Medicago truncatula: one gene and its partner. The protein of the gene in region 2 interacts with the protein of the main gene of each other region in a biochemical or structural test. Links are inferred from orthologs where the notes say so. Each region holds a gene or a part of one and is shown on either strand. Other genes may lie near its edges. The genes, in order: calcineurin B-like protein 7 and CBL-interacting serine/threonine-protein kinase 24.

Region 1 (9,184 bases), on a different chromosome or scaffold from region 2:
ATTGTAGAAATTCCAATCAAAATCAATTAACTTGTCATCATTTGAGAATTGGCAAAAGGTACAATAGTATTATAAATAAACAAATCAATCACACTCGCACATAATAAAATCAAAGAGGACTACAACTTGATCATAACAAAAAAAACTTACACACACATATATATATATATATATATTAATGATTCATTTCTTTGTCAAGTTTCATATAACAAAAATAATTTAGTAATGATATTAAAATGCTTACATAACAAGAAGAGTGCACCAACTTGGTTGTAAATAGCTACAACAACGAACTTATATAACTACATAAAAGAGGCATACAAATTCAGGAGTACCAAACTTCACCGGGCATTCGGTTATGTTATTTATATGAACATGTGAAAGCAACATTAAACCTTTAAATACACGTTTGCCAAAGGTAAGTAGAAACATATGAGTTGGAATTGAATTGACAAGCTTATCCCTACTGACCAATACCATACAACTCACAACTTAATAAATAATATTTAGTTTGCAGAAAAACTCAAAGCAAATCAAGAAAGAAATTAAAATACTGGTTTCTTCTCTCGGTTTATTTTATTTTGAAGAAAATAACAGAAAAAAAACACGAGGTAAAACAACTTTGATGACTCAATCATGATACGATACTTTCTTCAAACTCGGTATCAAATCTATTGATTGATTAATAGGAGGCACCAGTTCATGATGCAATATTTAACTGAGGGTCACATCTATTTCTTAAAAAAATTATTCGTACATGTTTTGATTGATGGTGAATTTGACGAAATCACGGTATGATGAAGTCGGCTAATAACACTATAATCCAAAAGAAAACACGTCTCTATCCGAGTCTTTAAATGGAGTCGGCTAAATTTGTTTGATTGCTCAAAATTGTTGCTATGTTTATTTTCAAAATAAAAAAGGACACGATATGTCATGTATCACTCGTATGGAGGAGACAAAGACATAATATAAAAACAACGGAATTTGTTTTATTTTGCTAAAACAAGAAAGGATCCTACTCCATGGTTTAAAGACACCATTCATTACAGCCTCGTATAATTTGGCCACGTTATTTTTTGTTTGATTTGTAGATGAAGTGAAGTGATACATACACACTATCTAAAGTTGACGTATAACTATGATGTTTTATGTTAGAATGGTGTCCGATTTAATAATATCGACAATTATCATTTGAAATATAACTTATGGATTTCAAGCAACTTTTGACGACTTTATTATGGGTTTTTCTATCATGTATAAATTTATTATTTTAAACTTTTGAATATGTGCAAATTAATTAGCAAATGATTGAAAAAACCCATTATAAATTAAAGGAAAATCCGTCAAAAAAAATTAAAAGAAAAGAAAGGTTGTCATGTGCATGATTCACGCAAGAGATGGAGCTTTAATAACACAGTCAGAGAAAACTTAATTAGGTGAACAGATTATAGGCCTCCCCCACTTGCTTATAAATAACACAACCTTAATTAATAATCAGGCAATTCTAATCAAGTACAAGTAGGAGATGTACATTTAGCCTTTAGAGCCGTTAGAGTACATGGGTAGTCATCCTCATTAGTCATTATCCCTACCTCATCTTACTTTGACAATATTTGGTTGGCAGAAAAGAAGAAAAAAAGAGGTAAGAGATGACGGATTATACAAAATAAAATAAAAATGAAGTCACTCCCTTAATATTCACAAAAAAGATACGAAATTCAAGTTGCTCCTCGAGGATAGGAGACATGGCCTCAAACAACAAGTGAAGGGACAAGTCACTCTCTCAAATATATAAAAAAAAAAAAAAATTAGATTTTGGATGAGAAGGATACGTCCTTTCATAAATATAAAAAAACAAAACAAAATACCTTAAAATATGAGCACTCAGAGGCCAGAGAAATACATGTTTGTTATATTTCTTACGTGTCTTTGCAACGATCATCATACAATTTTATGGATGAGGAGTCTTAAAGAACACTTTTTTTTAACTTTTTTTTTAATACTTGCTCTTTCATTGAGTGAAATTTTATCATTTTATGTGGAATTCATTTTTAAAATGAGAATATTACGTTGATTTCATTCAACAAAAGAATAAGTATTAGAGAAAATGTTGAATAGAGTGTGATTATAAGACTCTTCTTTCAAGGATGTCCACAAGTAAGATTATGTTGTAAATGTTAACGGAACATCGGAAGATGTGTTTAGAATCTCACATTAGTTGAGAATCCTTAAAATATGTGTCTTTACAAGTTCTAGCCCTGCCTCTTATAAGAAGAAGTCCCCCTACCATTCCTTCGACGGCTCCGCTAGTAAAAAACAGTAAAGGCCGTCGGAATAGTACTCTATTTGGCAGGCCACTTTATTCACGTGAAACGTGAGAACTACAAAAATGGGTGCTTCTTTCTTTCTATTATTTTCTTCGTTGTTTAGTCAAGACTATAAAAAGTTGTGGGGGCTCACTTCACAATTTTTGGATGAGAATTGTTATTTGTTATAATTTTACGATAATTTTTGAACAATTGTTTTTTTTTTCTGAATATAAAGAGTGATAAAGAATATTGTGACAGAAGTTGTCAAATATGTTATATCAATTATCATTACTCTTTCTGATGTCCCTTTCTTTGTCAACCGACAAACTACATAACTTTTCACACTATTCTCAGGCAGCAAGCACAATTTGAATTGTCAAATCATTACTCATATATGTTAGGTAAAGAAATATATTAGATATATAGTAGGAAAATCAAATAATTTGCAAAACACTCTTTTACTAACTTATACTCTTTAATTAGTTGAAATTTAGTGTATACACTTTGAAAATTACCAGCATGGATTTCATAGGAGAGTGAGTGTTAAAGGAGTGTTTCTAATATTTTTCAATGTAAAATTTATGGCTAAATTTATTAATTCCAATCAACTATAGAAACAAAATCAACATTTTATTCCATCTAATCGAAAATACCTAAAATTTGATATCTATAGAAATTAAAGGGAATGATATTGAAATTTTCACAATGCACAAAGGACAAGAACAGAACAAATGTTTGTTTGAATAGATAGAACTCATAATAAATAACAAGAGGCAATATTAGGTGAAGATGCTTAAAATTTGAAACAAGATCCGATATTAGGTGAAGATAGTTTAATAATGAAAGTGCATGAACACAGATAGAAAAAGGGGAAAAGGAGATACTGACCTGTACAACATAACAGGTGAGGTCTGGAGTGGTAATAAATAAATCTTGATATTTGCTTTCTCGTATGGGAATGGGAATTGGAGATAAAACGTAAGTAAGTCCTATGTGTTGTTGCCGGAGAAGTAGCGTCTATTCTAAACGGTTAGACTCTAACCTCGGGCTGCTTGCCACATTTTGAATTGGAAATGGAATTTAGAGCCGCAACATTTTCAACTTTTCTCATTGATTATTTATTTATTAATTAATATGTATCTTCCAGCTGGCTGATTGCCACATCCCCATAATTATTTGACTAAAACTCACCCCTCCCTAACATATTAAACAATTTAATTGGTTATTTGCCTATTTCAAACATCAGAAAGGGTAACAACACTAATTTTTTAACACTCTTTTCACATTCGGTTTATTGGATGTAATCAATATATGTCTCACTATTTTGTGTGAGTTTAATTTTCAAAGTGTAGATCCACAGTTATTTAAATCAATAAAAGAATAATTATTAAAGAGTGTTTAAAAAAGTGCTGCTAGCATTACTCTTTCACACATATATTAAGAAAAATTAATTAGTGAAGGAGAGAGAGAAAAAAAATAGTGTTATTGTCATAAATATAAAGTGGAATATATCTTAAGTATTCATTCACCATTATCATCAATGTAAAGTGGACTATGTTGAATTGAAAGTGTTGAAAGTAGTATTAATTAAAGTTATAATTAATACATAAAAAATAAAGTTATAATTGGAAAAAGTAATTAATATTGCACTGAAGAGTAAAATATGTTGATTACTTTCAACAATATTTTTTTTTAAAAATGGTTACTTAATATGGGACAAAGGAAATAATTTTTTAATGTGAATTAGTAGAATATACGGGGTTCAAACCTTATTTTGATGTGAATTAATATAACAATATATTGTAAGAAAAAAATAATATATTGTCTCTGTCAACTGAGGTATGCTTACGATAACAACTAAAACTCTATTTAGATGGATGGAATCGGTATAGTTCCTCTTCATATATATTAAATAAATGTTTTCTAAGGTTCATATTGACTTCAATACCGTATTATCTCAATTTTTTTTTACCAAAATAATAATAATAATTTGATGCATTTAATAATCAATATATTTAATTTATAACATAGACCGTATATATATATATATTATTCAATTAATCCTAAAAAGAAAAATTGCTTATAATTTAGACCAAAATGAGTAGTCTATATACCAAGAAAATACAATGCATCTTATTATTTTTGTTTTCCTTTTGACTTGGCTTTGATTAAGCTATTGTGAAACGGTCCCAGGGTTAGCCAAGATAACTTATCCACTTGTTGATTTCTCATTTTCACAAAATGTCTTCCGATTAGTATTTTTTACTTGAGTATTTGTCTTCCGATTAAGCTATTTGATTAAGCCCTCGTTTGGTGTTTATGCATTGAACAATAGGCGAGATCTCAACTTGCACACCTAAAAAATCTCATAAGAAGACATCACATAGACATTCATATTCATACACATAAAAATCAAAGAAACAAATGAAACAATGAGCTCGCGATTTGTTTCGTATAAAATGAAATATTCGTTTCTTCCTCTTTTTTCCACTTGGGTATACAATTTGGGGTGATAGACAGATAGTAGTCTTCACACTACACTAAAATAAAAAATAAAAAAAACATCTTTATATCTGCAACACTTAATCTAATATGTTAAGGAGAGGCTAAACATATATCTGCAACACTTGTGACGACGCAGCTTTTGCAACATTGACTGAAAATATATTTTTTCCCCTTGATTTTTACAAGTAAAAATGTATATGTATTTGATTCAAATATATGTATTCTTTTTTTTTTTTCTTTTGTAAAAAACTGGAGTAGTACTCCGCAACTAAATTTGGCGACCAACAATAATTACATGAATTGTAAAGAAATATTTGCACAAACTATACACATGTTTGGATCTGCGCCGGTTTTGAAAAATTACGGAAAGACATTGTAACTTTGAAAAAATTAAAATGTGCTCCAACCCAAAAGGTTAAAATGTGGTAATTTACCTACCAACTAATGAAAATGAGCAATTTATTAGTGGAGTTAAAATAGTTCATGGATACTACCTAAAAATGTGAATGTTCATTGGTTGAGGTAAATTATCCGTCATTCTTCCATGGGTACATTAGTTGTCACCTCAACAAAATCAAGGTTTTATTGTAATTTTGTCAAACTTACATTGTTTCTAAATGTGCATTACATTAATATTCACTAGGGCTGGAAATGAGTCGAGTCGAACCGAACCTGCCTGAGCTCGGCTCGACTCGATAAGAATTGGTTCGACTCGAGTTCGACACGAACTATTTTTTCAGCTCGAGTTCGGCTCGTTTGAAGGTCACGAACTTCGGTTCGGCTTGTTAGGTTCAGTTCGGTTGCTCAACTCGTCCAAAAATAATTATAAAAAAAAAAAAATTAATTTATAGATCTTTGATATTATATATATATATTTTAAAATTAAATATTAAATTAAAATAAAAGTTCCCACAAGCATGCATATAATAGACATAAATTATATAAAGTTAAATGTTGCATAAATACGAAGAAAAATATCTGATACAAGTAACAGAGACAAAAAAATCCAACAAAATTCAATTAGCTGTGAACAAAATTCATAATATTCTTTTACTTTTAAACTCCAACTGCTCTTCCCTTCAAGACAAAATTGTATTCAGCCACATTTGCCTCATTTGAATTAATTTTTTTTAAAAAACTAACTCAAATTGATTTATATATATAATCGATAATCGAGTCATCTCATGAACCCAACGAGTCGAACTATATGTAGCTCAAGTTCAGCTCATTTAATTAACGAACTTAATTTTCAGCTCAAGTCCAGCTCGTTAGGTTCATGAACCAAGTTCAACGGATTAAATATCGAGTCGAATGTCGAACTATAATCGAGTTGGTCGGTTCATTGCCAACCTAATATTCACTTTAGTGCAATTGGTCATCGTGAGGAACTACATGTTTCAATACGAGCTTTTTAGCGTCTTCTTAGTTCATTATTGTTTTGCTTAGTAGTATAAAGATAGTGAGAAGAGATCAAGACAGTGCGAGAAGAGAGAGTCGTAGTTAATTTTGAAAATGACAAGAGTGCCTTTAAACTAAAAAAAAATATATAATATATAATTTGATAGTAATTTTTAATAGAACTATTATTAAGTCAATCAAAATGCTAACAATGCAACAACGAAGACAGACCATTTTTACAAAAAAAAAATTGATATTTGAACAATCATTTCTAAGCAACTTTTATGATAACTCACTTTTATATTTTTATTGTAATTTTATTCTCATTCTTTTCTTTTCTCTCTCTATTGTTATTGTCTAATAAAAAGAGAGAAAAAATGTTGTCACTAGAAGTTGTTTAAAATTTGTAGTCAAAATATCATTCCTCTTTTCCCGACATCCTGACTATCTCTACCTTCCAATAACATGATACCTTCATGGATCGAATCTCCCACACAAACATTTGTGTCTCTTTGAAATAATACTAACTTCCTACATCATGAACAGAGTATCGAGAGTGTCAAATGTTTCTCTTCCTCACCAATTTTGTGATGGGAGAGCCATTAGGAGTAGATTACAAAATTGACAGAGGTATTGTAGAGAAAGACGAGAGAGTCGTCGAAGTAATAAATGAATAAGGGTATTTTTGGAAGAAAAAAAACTTAATTACTTCTATCACAACAAGCATTTCTCCGCACTTGAGCGAAGAAGCCAAAACTACGTGGGTCTCGTCTACTTCTTTCTTTATTTGATATACCTTTCCTCAACCAAACGAAATAAGTGTCATATTTATCCTACCTTTCTCTCCCTCTTACTTCTCTCTCAAGACGAACTCTAATATGGACCAACTTGACAATTGGTCCATTGTAGATCAAGATATCCTTTACCTTAACTCTCCCTCACGGCACATTCTCCTACTCGACTCTCATCCACTGTTTCGACTAACCTTACGACCAAAAGCTCCGATTTTCTTCTACTATCTTCAAATGTTCTCCTAGTATACCAATCTCCATTGGACATTGCTACCCACATGTAGGGATGTGCAACATATTCAGGTACATGGAAAAAACATCATCCAAATAATCTCGTCGAGTTTTATAAGCCCATTTTTTTTTTTCCGGATATCCAAATTCAGAACAATATTTTTTTAAACCAAAAGCCATATCCCCTCTCTCTCAATCGACATTGAGTTTTGTTTTATTTATCCATGAATTCACCAACAACCACAACTATTGATCTTAAGTTTTTTTTTATTGTTTCGTATTTTTTCCCTTCTTGATCCAACTCGCTACTTTATTTTCGATGGAATCAAAAAAAATTGTAAATACTTTGGATTTTCAAAAAATGAACAATGTAATCTTGATATAAAGACGGAGACAAAAGGATGTATTATACGAAAGATGGAGTCAGTGGGTAATGAGAACCAATTATTTTTTAACTCTATTGATTATTTTTTATCAATGATTTTTTTTGACAAATCAATTATTTATATATTTTATGAAATTAGTTTTTTAGATCAACTTATTTTTGAAAAAATAGAATTGTGATCTTATATGAGACATCATTATCGTCTTATGCTTCATTAAGACCTCAGTCTCATTAGGTATTAAAAAAAATCTTTAATGTAGGTACCTCATAAGCGCCAAGTATGTGAGATTCTGTTCCTAGTCTTCCTTCTATTTGGTCGAGGTTGAGTGTTCTGATGGGAGGTTGGTTGGTTGTCTAGTGTTGTTTTAGTTTTAGTTTCACTCTTGTTTTCTTTGGGAGAGATCCTTTTGTTTTGTTACCTCTTGATTAAAGTATTTTTTGTACTCACTATTTGTATCTCTTTGCACTCTTTTAGAAGAAGATTTTTCCTTTTATTTATATATACATATATTTTTGTCGTTCAAAAAATAAAAAAATGTATAAATATTTTTTTATTTAATGTATTTATTTTTTTAGTATTTAATTTATAGTTAAGTGTGTTTTTGTCCTGACAAATATTTCAATTTTTAGAGTTAGTTCTTACAAAAAAAATTCTTCAATTTTTATTCCTAAATTTTTTTTTCAACCACAATTTTAATCTCTGCCTTTATGTATCCCAAAAATAAAGCTAATGGTTAACATACAAATTAAGTGCAAGATAGAAAAAAAACCGTGAGCAAGAATATATAAAAAGTTACAACGAGCAGCGCTAGTTATTATAATAAGAGAATTGATGTTGACACATTAGGTTTGGCTGAGACACACGAGTAATTTACATAAATGTCTATTGGCAGTTAACTGTCGAAGTTTTAGAAAATCGGCGGCAGTTAACTACCGAGGATTTCCTCGGCAGTTAACTGCCGATGCGAACTGAACATAAACAGAAGCAGAAACTCAGTTTTCTGAGTATTGTTCAAGTGTTCAAAAACTTTCCAAAACCAAACTACTTCTCCCATTTCGATTTTTGAGCAAAATCAAGTGCATCATCTCCATTTAATCACAAGTAAGTATCTTGACTCATTTTTAATCATAATGTTAGTTTGTGTAGGTTTTTTAAAAAAAAAATGGTAGTTTTCATGTGGTTAGGGTTAATGTAGGAATTGAATTTTTGATAATTGCATGTAGTTTATAATTGAATGTAGTTACTTTAATTGATGATTGAATGATGTTAGAGTATAATGTGGTTTTGAATGGTGGCAAAAGAACACATTTTGAGTATGTTTGATACTTTGCACACAAAGTGTTTGATAAAATGCCTCAATGACAATTTTATTGATTATCTAGTTAGTTTAGTTTATGGATATGATGTTGATTGTAATTCGAAAAAGTGTATATTGAATTAGGTTGAATGTGGTTTTGATTTTTCAACGAAGATGAATGTTTATGTTTAGTTTAGGTTATGTTTAGGTTGAATGTGTATGATAATGCATTTGATTATTTATGTTTGAATGTGAATGATGGTG
Region 2 (8,553 bases):
TTACCTTTATCTTACTTTTCTTCTATTTTCATCATACAGTACATGCATTCATCTATACACCAAATTAAATTAGAATTAGATGTATCTGGATTAAAATTCAGATTTGATTGTTTGTACAAAAAAATCTTTATGTAGATATCAGTGTGTCAGGTAAGATAGTATAGATGGAAGAATCCAATATTCCAATCAAGATTGATGATAAATCAGCAGGTGATGTAAAAGAAGATAAGGTTGAGATAGAAAAAGATCTGGAGATTAAATCAGTAGAGAGAGAGAAGAAACATAAGGATGAAGATAAAGACGATGAGAAAAGGGAAAAGAAGGATATGGAGAAGAAGAAGGAAAAGAAGGACAAAACTGATGTAGAGGAGAATGAACATAAGAAAGACAAAGATAAGAAGAAAAAGGTGGAAAAGAATCCAAGTTTCAATGGTTAGTGAAGATAGTAAGATAAGAATCTAGTGTTGAGAGACTATTGTAATAGTGTGTTCTTTGTATGATCCAATGGTTAGAAAAGACTTTCCCATGGTGGGAAAGAAGTCTCCTTTCCCAAATTAAATGTCACCTCACTTATATAACTCAGTCTAGAGTTTGAAAAATGATAACTTATATCCTTAACTTATGTCTATCATGTATAAGTTAACATGATCCTTTACTTTACGTAAGTTATCTGAACTTAATTTACATGTTTTATGTAAGTTAATGGAGAAGAAGAAAGAGAAATATAGTTGTTGGTTCAAGAGAATATAGAAGAGGCAAGCGAGTAAAAATTAGTTAAAAATATGTTTGAATCAAAGGGAAGGGAAGAAGTTTTAAATGATTTAGTCACGCTTCCTTAAAAAAAAAAATATAATTTAGTCAAGCTCTCATCGTCCCATGCCCTTCAAATAATCCCCCAATTTGAGGGGAAGCGAAAACGAATTAAGATGAGTTTTGTTTCCCTCCTCTCCCTTTCTTAAAAATTACACCGAATGTTATGATTTAAACTATTATTTGTTTGCATCTACTTCCAACCAAACATACCTTAAAAATGATAAGAACAATATTTTTTAGTCTATTGGACAAATAATTCTTACAATAACATTATACGTTGCATTAAGGTTAATCTAAAAATGTGTTTAATAGTACTTAATCTTAATTAATTTCTTTTGGCAACAATATCTCAGTAATTTTTAATTAGCCATTTTTGTCTTTTGTTTTTTATTTTTGAAAATTTAGTTGTATCTTTACAAATTATGCATTATTGGTTCATCTATAAAGGTGTTATCCAATCGTTAGCGAAGGATGTTGATGTACCAATAAATGGACGTTGATGTGCCAATAAATGGATGCTGTTAGTGCATTAGGTTCATTTAGCATATGGGTGTTTATAACCAATCCAATTTGAATTTTTTTTTTTTAATTAAAGGGAAAGGAAAAAAGTAACAATAGAAAAAACAAATAATTACAACTTTTCTATTTTTATTTCTTGTCCCTTTATGTAAGGTCTCTTTCAAATTTTCAAATGCAATACACCTTTAATTGTGTTACAACTCGTGATAAATACTCTAATGAAAATATTAATAATCATCTCTACAAAATTGCAAAACAACGTCAACAATCAACAATTAATCCAGTAATGAATGTAAACTTCAATTGAATCCAGGTTTATTCCTAAATTGATTGACTGTTTTTGACTCGCTTAACGAAGCACATAGATAACGCTAACGGTAGCAAGTTACCGCTGGTGGTTCAATTCTTTGTTGCCTTCTCATTTATGTTTTATCTTCATTCACATATAAAAACAAGGACAAATCATTGTGATGATTACCATCCTCATCCTCATGTATCAAATCCTAATACTTAAATATATAATAGAGTGGGAAAATCACATGTTTTTCTATCAATCTTAGTTAATCAATGTCATGGAATATATATTGAAAACTACATAAATTTAAAACTTATCAGTTGGTTTGGCCTTCTTGATGTTGATGGTGCCGGTAAAGCCATACTGCCAAGACTTTTTACAACCTCGGGTGCATAGGTCAAACTTAGCCTTGACCCGGAGAACTGACATTTCCAGCGATGAAGATCGTATTGTCCCATCGAACGTGTCAAATTTGTTATCGAACTAGAGATTTATCTGAGGTATTGGTTGATAATCCTCAAATGTGATTCCTTTTCTTCAGCAAGTAACTGAGAAAAGAACTATATCCCTCAATTGTGGGTTCCTTAACTGCTCATGTAGAGCGTTTTTTTACTACTAAACTAAGAAATACATGAAAATAAAGATAAATTTAGAAAGATAAAAGGATAAAATAACGTAAATAGATTATGTTTGATTGATGTGGACTGAATACAATGTACAAAATGAGTATTTATATGAAAAAGTATTCATATTGGCCAAATGACATGATCTATATTGTTTAGCATTTCTCGGATATTTGCGTAGATAGTACATTAGTTTTCCTTAGTTAAGGGGTTCGTGGTATCCCACGTTCGGCTAACAACTTTCGACTTCACAACATGATCCGTTGACAAGGTTCAATATGCTCAACCTTTCTCAAAACGTGTCTCTTTACTCATCGTTCCTTGTGGTTATTGGCGCTATAAACATGAAACCTGAGTTCAATGCCTCATTGTCCAGTTCTGTTGAGCTTTGACTTAGTCTAATGTCTTAAATACCCATACACTCTTCAGTAGACTTGAGAAAGAATTGACCGACCCTTGTTCTACTGCAACAACACTCGCCTAATCTTTAATTGACGACTCAGAGGGAGGGGGAACTCCTTATTCTTCCAACTACTAAATGCGAAACTTTTATTAGTACTCACTTTGGCACAACAACACTAACAAACGATTTTAAACAATTTTGTAACTCGCTTACTGATGAGCCTTGCTATATGGTATGAGAGAATCGGCACACGAACTGCACGACGTGTTGATCTACATGTGAGATTCTCTCTTAATGGATACTAGCTTATAACTTTTTCAATATAAAAGACAAAAGAAGATAAAATAAACACTTAGAAGTGGAAACATCCTTGAATTGTGTACTCCAATATATATCCACTTTTTGACACATCATTGAAGAGGTAACTTAGAAGCTAGAGTGAGATATATATGAAAAAGCACCGCTACAAGAAAAAGGTGCATGTAATTTCTCAAATTCTTATAAACAAACATATACGTGATACTAACATGGAGTCAAATGACAATAAAAACTCAAATAACAATAAAAAAAAAAGTCATTCGTGCGTTTGCGACGAAAATACTGTCGTGCACTTAAGCTTTTCCCTTTACTAATAACATAAACACGTTTTAATTTGCAACTTTATATTTTTTTTAGAGGAATTTGCTAATATATTTTTAAAGTCAAAAGCCCCTATGTTACTCGTTTGTGTTGGTTTGTTGCAATTTGCACGTTTAACTCCATTCTGTTTAAATGTTATATCTATTTTAGCTTTTGGTGCGTCATGTTATGAGTTCTTGTGTTATGTTATTTTACACAAGTTTGGATGAATCATTCATGCTCATTGTGCTGTTGAAGGAATTCCAAATGCTCGCTCAAAACACATTCAAGAGTTAGCAAGAATACATGGTCCACACTCCAGGCATTTGCATTAAAAGAAATCACTTTCTGAAGGGTCATATATAATTTCATAATGCTATTCCTCCTGGCTTGAATTTGTAATTAATTTAGTTCTAAACCAATATAAAGTAGCCTAGCTTTGTTTTCCATATTGGTACTTAATTTCAGCTGCTCTTATATATGATGCACAAGAAACCTACCCAGTAGGGTAAGGTGATTAATGGTGTAAATAGATATAAAATATAGAATAGTTAGTTGCATTGCATCATCTACTTTAATTTGGTAAACTTTTTCAAGAACTGGTTGTTGCTATAAATGGATGGAGTATATGTGGACTCCAATAGATATTGGGAAAGTTCTGTTTCCTAATGCTCACCTTTGATCATACAATTACACTTTTAATGTCAACTTTGTTTACTCTCTTCCTCAAAAAAGGAAAAAGTTATTTGTGCACTCTCATAAATTAATTGAATAAATAAGTATAAAAACGTAAGTACAAATATGACACTATTGCTTTCGTATTCATTATTGTTCACCAGTCCCCCACCCCACCCAAATATTGTACTTCTACGAGGGCTCATTAAAAATACTAGCCAATGAACAATATAATTTGTACATAAAAAATATTAATATATATAAATATGATTTTTTTGGCGGACAATATATACATATGAAATTAAACAACACACACCAAATACAAAATGCATTTGTCCTCCTGAGTTTTAATTCAGTTGATAGAGACAATATATAACATATGTAAAATTCGTAGTTTAAATTTCAACCATCATCAAAAAAATAAAAATAAAAAATATATTTAATGTTCTAAAAAAATATATTTAATTATCTACAAACTTCAAACAGTTGCGCGCAGAGAGGATACTTGATTTAAAAAAAAAAAAAACTTAAACTTAAACAAATAAAACAAGTTTTTATGCATTATTCACCGTTTGTAAAAGTAATTTATAAAAAATTGTTCATAAATATACAATTTTCGTTAACTTGTTACTTTGTTAAGCATGAACATGTAAATTAACATAAAAACTTATTTTTGTTCTAAAATAAGCCTAATTCAAACAGAAAATCCTGTGCATCTATTTCTCTTCTGTCTCTTGTTTGTTGTTGAAGCTTCACTTCAATTCAATTCAACCTCTGAAGCTTCACTTTCAGTTTTTCTAGAATCTTCCATTTCCGTTCTTACCTTAACTCTTTCTCCGATCCTCTTCTTCATCAAACACCACAACCTCTACTTTTCTTTTCAAGGATCGCGTTCCAGAATATTCTTCCTCTCATAGTTCGGAGCTAGCAGAAACTCACCTTAACAATTTCCGTTGAAAATTCGCTAATCAATTCGTGTTTCTAGGTCATTTCAACTTTCTTTGAATTGCGAATTGGTCACAATAATGAAGAAAGTGAGGAGGAAGATTGGGAAGTATGAAGTTGGTAGAACAATTGGTGAAGGCACATTCGCTAAGGTCAAATATGCAAAACACTCCGAGACAGGGGAAAGTGTCGCGATTAAAGTCATGGCTAAAACTACCATTCTCAAACACAGAATGGTTGAACAGGTTCCATTCTTTTTTTCCTTTCTAAAACTATGAGGGAAATATTTTATTCAATTTTTAGTGTATTTGTTAATCATCTTTATGTTTTGGTTCGTATGAGGTTATGCTTTTCTTAACATGTTTTACTGCATTAAATTTTTAATCAAAATAAAGATTAAAACTAGGCTACTTTGTCTTGAACGCCGACTTCAATCATAGAGATTTCCTACTGTCTGTGTCGATACTAGAAACTGCACTATGGCTGAAACCTACACTGCTAATGAAGTTAAAAGTGATTGCCTGGTTTCTATGTCGACAGGTAGGTGGTTATTAGGATGTAGTCGAGGAGTTCTTCCTATAACATAAATTCAAAGAAAATAAAGATGTTGTTCACCGAAAGATAGGCAATTTATTGACTTCAAGAGCGGAAAGGAATACTTACCTATGCCTCGAGTCCCAGTCTCCTAGTGGTGGGGATGGTAAAGGAAAATGTCTGGTTCTGGCTATGAGATGTCTTTGCCAAGCCTTTCCTCCCTGGCGGTCTACACCAGGTATGAACTCAATTTAAACTGGGATCAGAGGAAAAAAAAGGCTCTTTTCCTTTCTACCATGCTTTAGGCTGCTTATAGGAAAAAAGACTCTAGTTCCTTGCTCATTTACGCTGTAGGCGTAGAGCTATGGGAATGCTCAAAGGATGAGCACCGACCGGCCTACGTTTTGACTAGTCATCATCGGTTTATCTGTGTGCTGAAACCACCATCCATAGTCAATTCAATGGGTGGATAGCCACTCAACTTTTCACTGTGCATTCAATCACGTTTGCTATGAAATACCATTCCTTCGATTGCAGGACTGCTCATTCCATTAAACATAATTGTTTGTTTGAGAATCATTATAAGGAAAAACAAAGAAGCTAGATGATGAAATTACATGTCATTTCAGTTAAGGTAATTAAGCTACGAGAACATGACAGGGCTATTGAGGTTCTGTAAGGAGTAGGACAGAAAGGTATTTTCTTAGAAAAACGGAGGAAAGACGAAGTAGTTGGTTAATTTTAAGAAGATTAGTTAGATTAATAATAAGGGGGAGAACGGGTTGGTAGATCTTTCAAGGAATTTTTCAAGAGAAATAGGTGTTAGAGATCACACATTTACTAGTGATATGATCAACATAGTAGTTATAAGTGGGGGTAAACTGGTTTAAAAAAAAGGGGGTAAACTGTCACTTCATGAGCTAGTCTTTGAGGTTGAGTCTAAGTCAACCCAAATTCTTAGATGGTAATAGTGTTGTCAAATATTGGCCATGGCAGATATCGGTGGCAGGTTTTTGGCTTTCCACCATTTCCAATTTTGTGAAGGACAGCGGCGCCATAGTGCCATGGTCGGATATGGTGACGCCATATGTTAGCTGGTATGTCGGAATTTTCGTTCTTCGCCGCGATCCGCCATCTGCCATCGACAACACTGTGGCGTTGGCCTGTACTAGATATGTTATTGGGCCTCTTATAGATGTCTAGCCCTGGTCAATATAGTTTTTCTTAGTAAGTGGGGGGCAATCCTTACCCCAGGAGTAAGGAAAATACCCTTGTGAAGGGAAAATATTTGGGGGAAAGATCTTTCTCTTTGTCCCTTTTAATTTTTATTTTAGACTTTAGTCAATCAATCAATAAAATTGTTCTTTTCTTTTCTCTCTTTACATTGCACACTCCATACAGGTTCAAAATATAATTTAAGGTGGGATTCTTTTTTTTCTTTTTTCTTCGGTCAAATAGCCCAGTGGCTGAGGCTCACACATTTTAAATGTGAAGGAGTCCAGGTTTCGAACCCCGGCGCCTGCATATCATTTTCCTTGCAGCTACCAACCGAGCTGTGCTTACAGTTACAGGACAATTTAAGATGGGATTCTATTTCACTGATTCTGGTTATCTCTCTTGAGTATACACTGGACTATTAATGCTTCTGCGAAGTTATTATAAATCAATGCAAAACGATTCGAGTGTGTCATTGTTATGATAGTGTGTAATTGTTATACAAAACTTATGATTCTTTTCATCCAGCAAAATTAAAAAAGCATTTCGTCATGATGATGCCTGTTAGTGGATCTTATGTTGCATCTGAAGTCAAAGTCCTGCTTATATCTTTATGTGTGTGTTCTGTATTTATGCAGAATAATGATGTAGTTTGTTATACTCAATGCTTATCGTAATTCTTTCACCTTTTTGCTATTAGCTTTTCTAACTTGAAAGTTGAAACATGTTACAGATTAAAAGAGAGATATCCATTATGAAGATCGTCAGGCACCCGAATATAGTCAGATTGCACGAGGTGCACATAGATATCTGAATATATCAGGAGTTTCATCGTCTTTCTTTCTTTCTTTCCAAATTGTTTTTCTCACATTGCTTACAAATTTTAGGTTTTGGCCAGCCAGACCAAGATCTACATAATTCTGGAGTTTGTAATGGGAGGGGAATTATATGATAAAATTGTAAGAATTTTCATGCTTATATGTTACGAGATATATAGAGGTCAATTCTTCTACACTTCAATAGTTCCCAACTCGGACTTTTTGAACTAGTCAGCATTGACAAGGCAGATATTTATGTTTACTATTACACCTATTCTGGATCTGTAGGTTCAGCAGGTAAAGCTTTCTGAAAATGAATCTAGGCGCTACTTTCAACAACTTATAGACGCTGTTGCTCATTGTCATAAAAAGGGCGTGTACCATAGAGACTTGAAGGTGAAAGACAAAATACAATATCTGGTGTTTATAAGGTTTCTGCTGTAATTATTTTAACCTAGTTAAGTTTTTATCTTGATAATTTTTTTTCTTTCTTTAATAGCCTGAAAATCTTCTTCTTGATGCTTATGGAAATTTGAAGGTTTCTGACTTTGGATTGAGTGCATTGACTAAGCAGGTAAGAATCTACTCTACTTATAAAAAGGTGAGAGAAAATTATGAAGCATGGATACAGACACGAACACCGGATACGACACGGACACCGACATGGATAATAATTTGCGAAAATGACATAATTTAGTGTAATCCTAGGTGTGCGTCGGTGAGTGTCCCTGCTTCATAGGTTTTATCCCTTTGGCATGTAGTTGTTCATTTGTCTTTGAATATTGATTGTTGGAGATAGCAGAAGCGGCAGATCTAATGTCTTCCTTTTTCTATCCACTTCTTTCTTATAGGGTGACGAGCTTCTTCACACCACGTGTGGGACCCCAAATTATGTTGCCCCCGAGGTAAAATTGATTATACACACAATTCTAATGCCATTATTAATTAATGCGTTAATCTTTTTCTCATATTCCTCTGGATGCTTGGTCACTGGGATCAGGTTAACGGTAACATAATTGTCTGCATCAATTTTAGTCGTGGACAAATAATTGGGGATGAAATAGATCAATGCTATTGATGTCCTGTGCGTTGTAC

The links.
Region 1: the proteins of CBL-interacting serine/threonine-protein kinase 24 (region 2) and calcineurin B-like protein 7 form a complex in vitro, tested with the Arabidopsis thaliana proteins (3 studies listed by BioGRID, with this or other methods). The link is inferred for Medicago truncatula from reciprocal best matches to the Arabidopsis thaliana genes SOS2 and SOS3.

What each region holds. Positions count from the first base shown.
Region 1 is NC_053044.1:45,063,996-45,073,179, forward strand, and holds the start of calcineurin B-like protein 7, read right to left. Parts: upstream 3,406-9,184; 5' UTR 3,201-3,405; intron 525-3,200; exon of another isoform or gene 245-524; intron 1-244.
Region 2 is NC_053045.1:55,310,602-55,319,154, reverse strand, and holds the start of CBL-interacting serine/threonine-protein kinase 24, read left to right. Parts: upstream 1-4,600; 5' UTR 4,601-4,971; coding exon 4,972-5,136; intron 5,137-5,482; exon of another isoform or gene 5,483-5,663; intron 5,664-7,373; coding exon 7,374-7,436; intron 7,437-7,527; coding exon 7,528-7,599; intron 7,600-7,746; coding exon 7,747-7,854; intron 7,855-7,957; coding exon 7,958-8,032; intron 8,033-8,309; coding exon 8,310-8,363; intron 8,364-8,553. UniProt on the Arabidopsis thaliana protein: Involved in the regulatory pathway for the control of intracellular Na(+) and K(+) homeostasis and salt tolerance.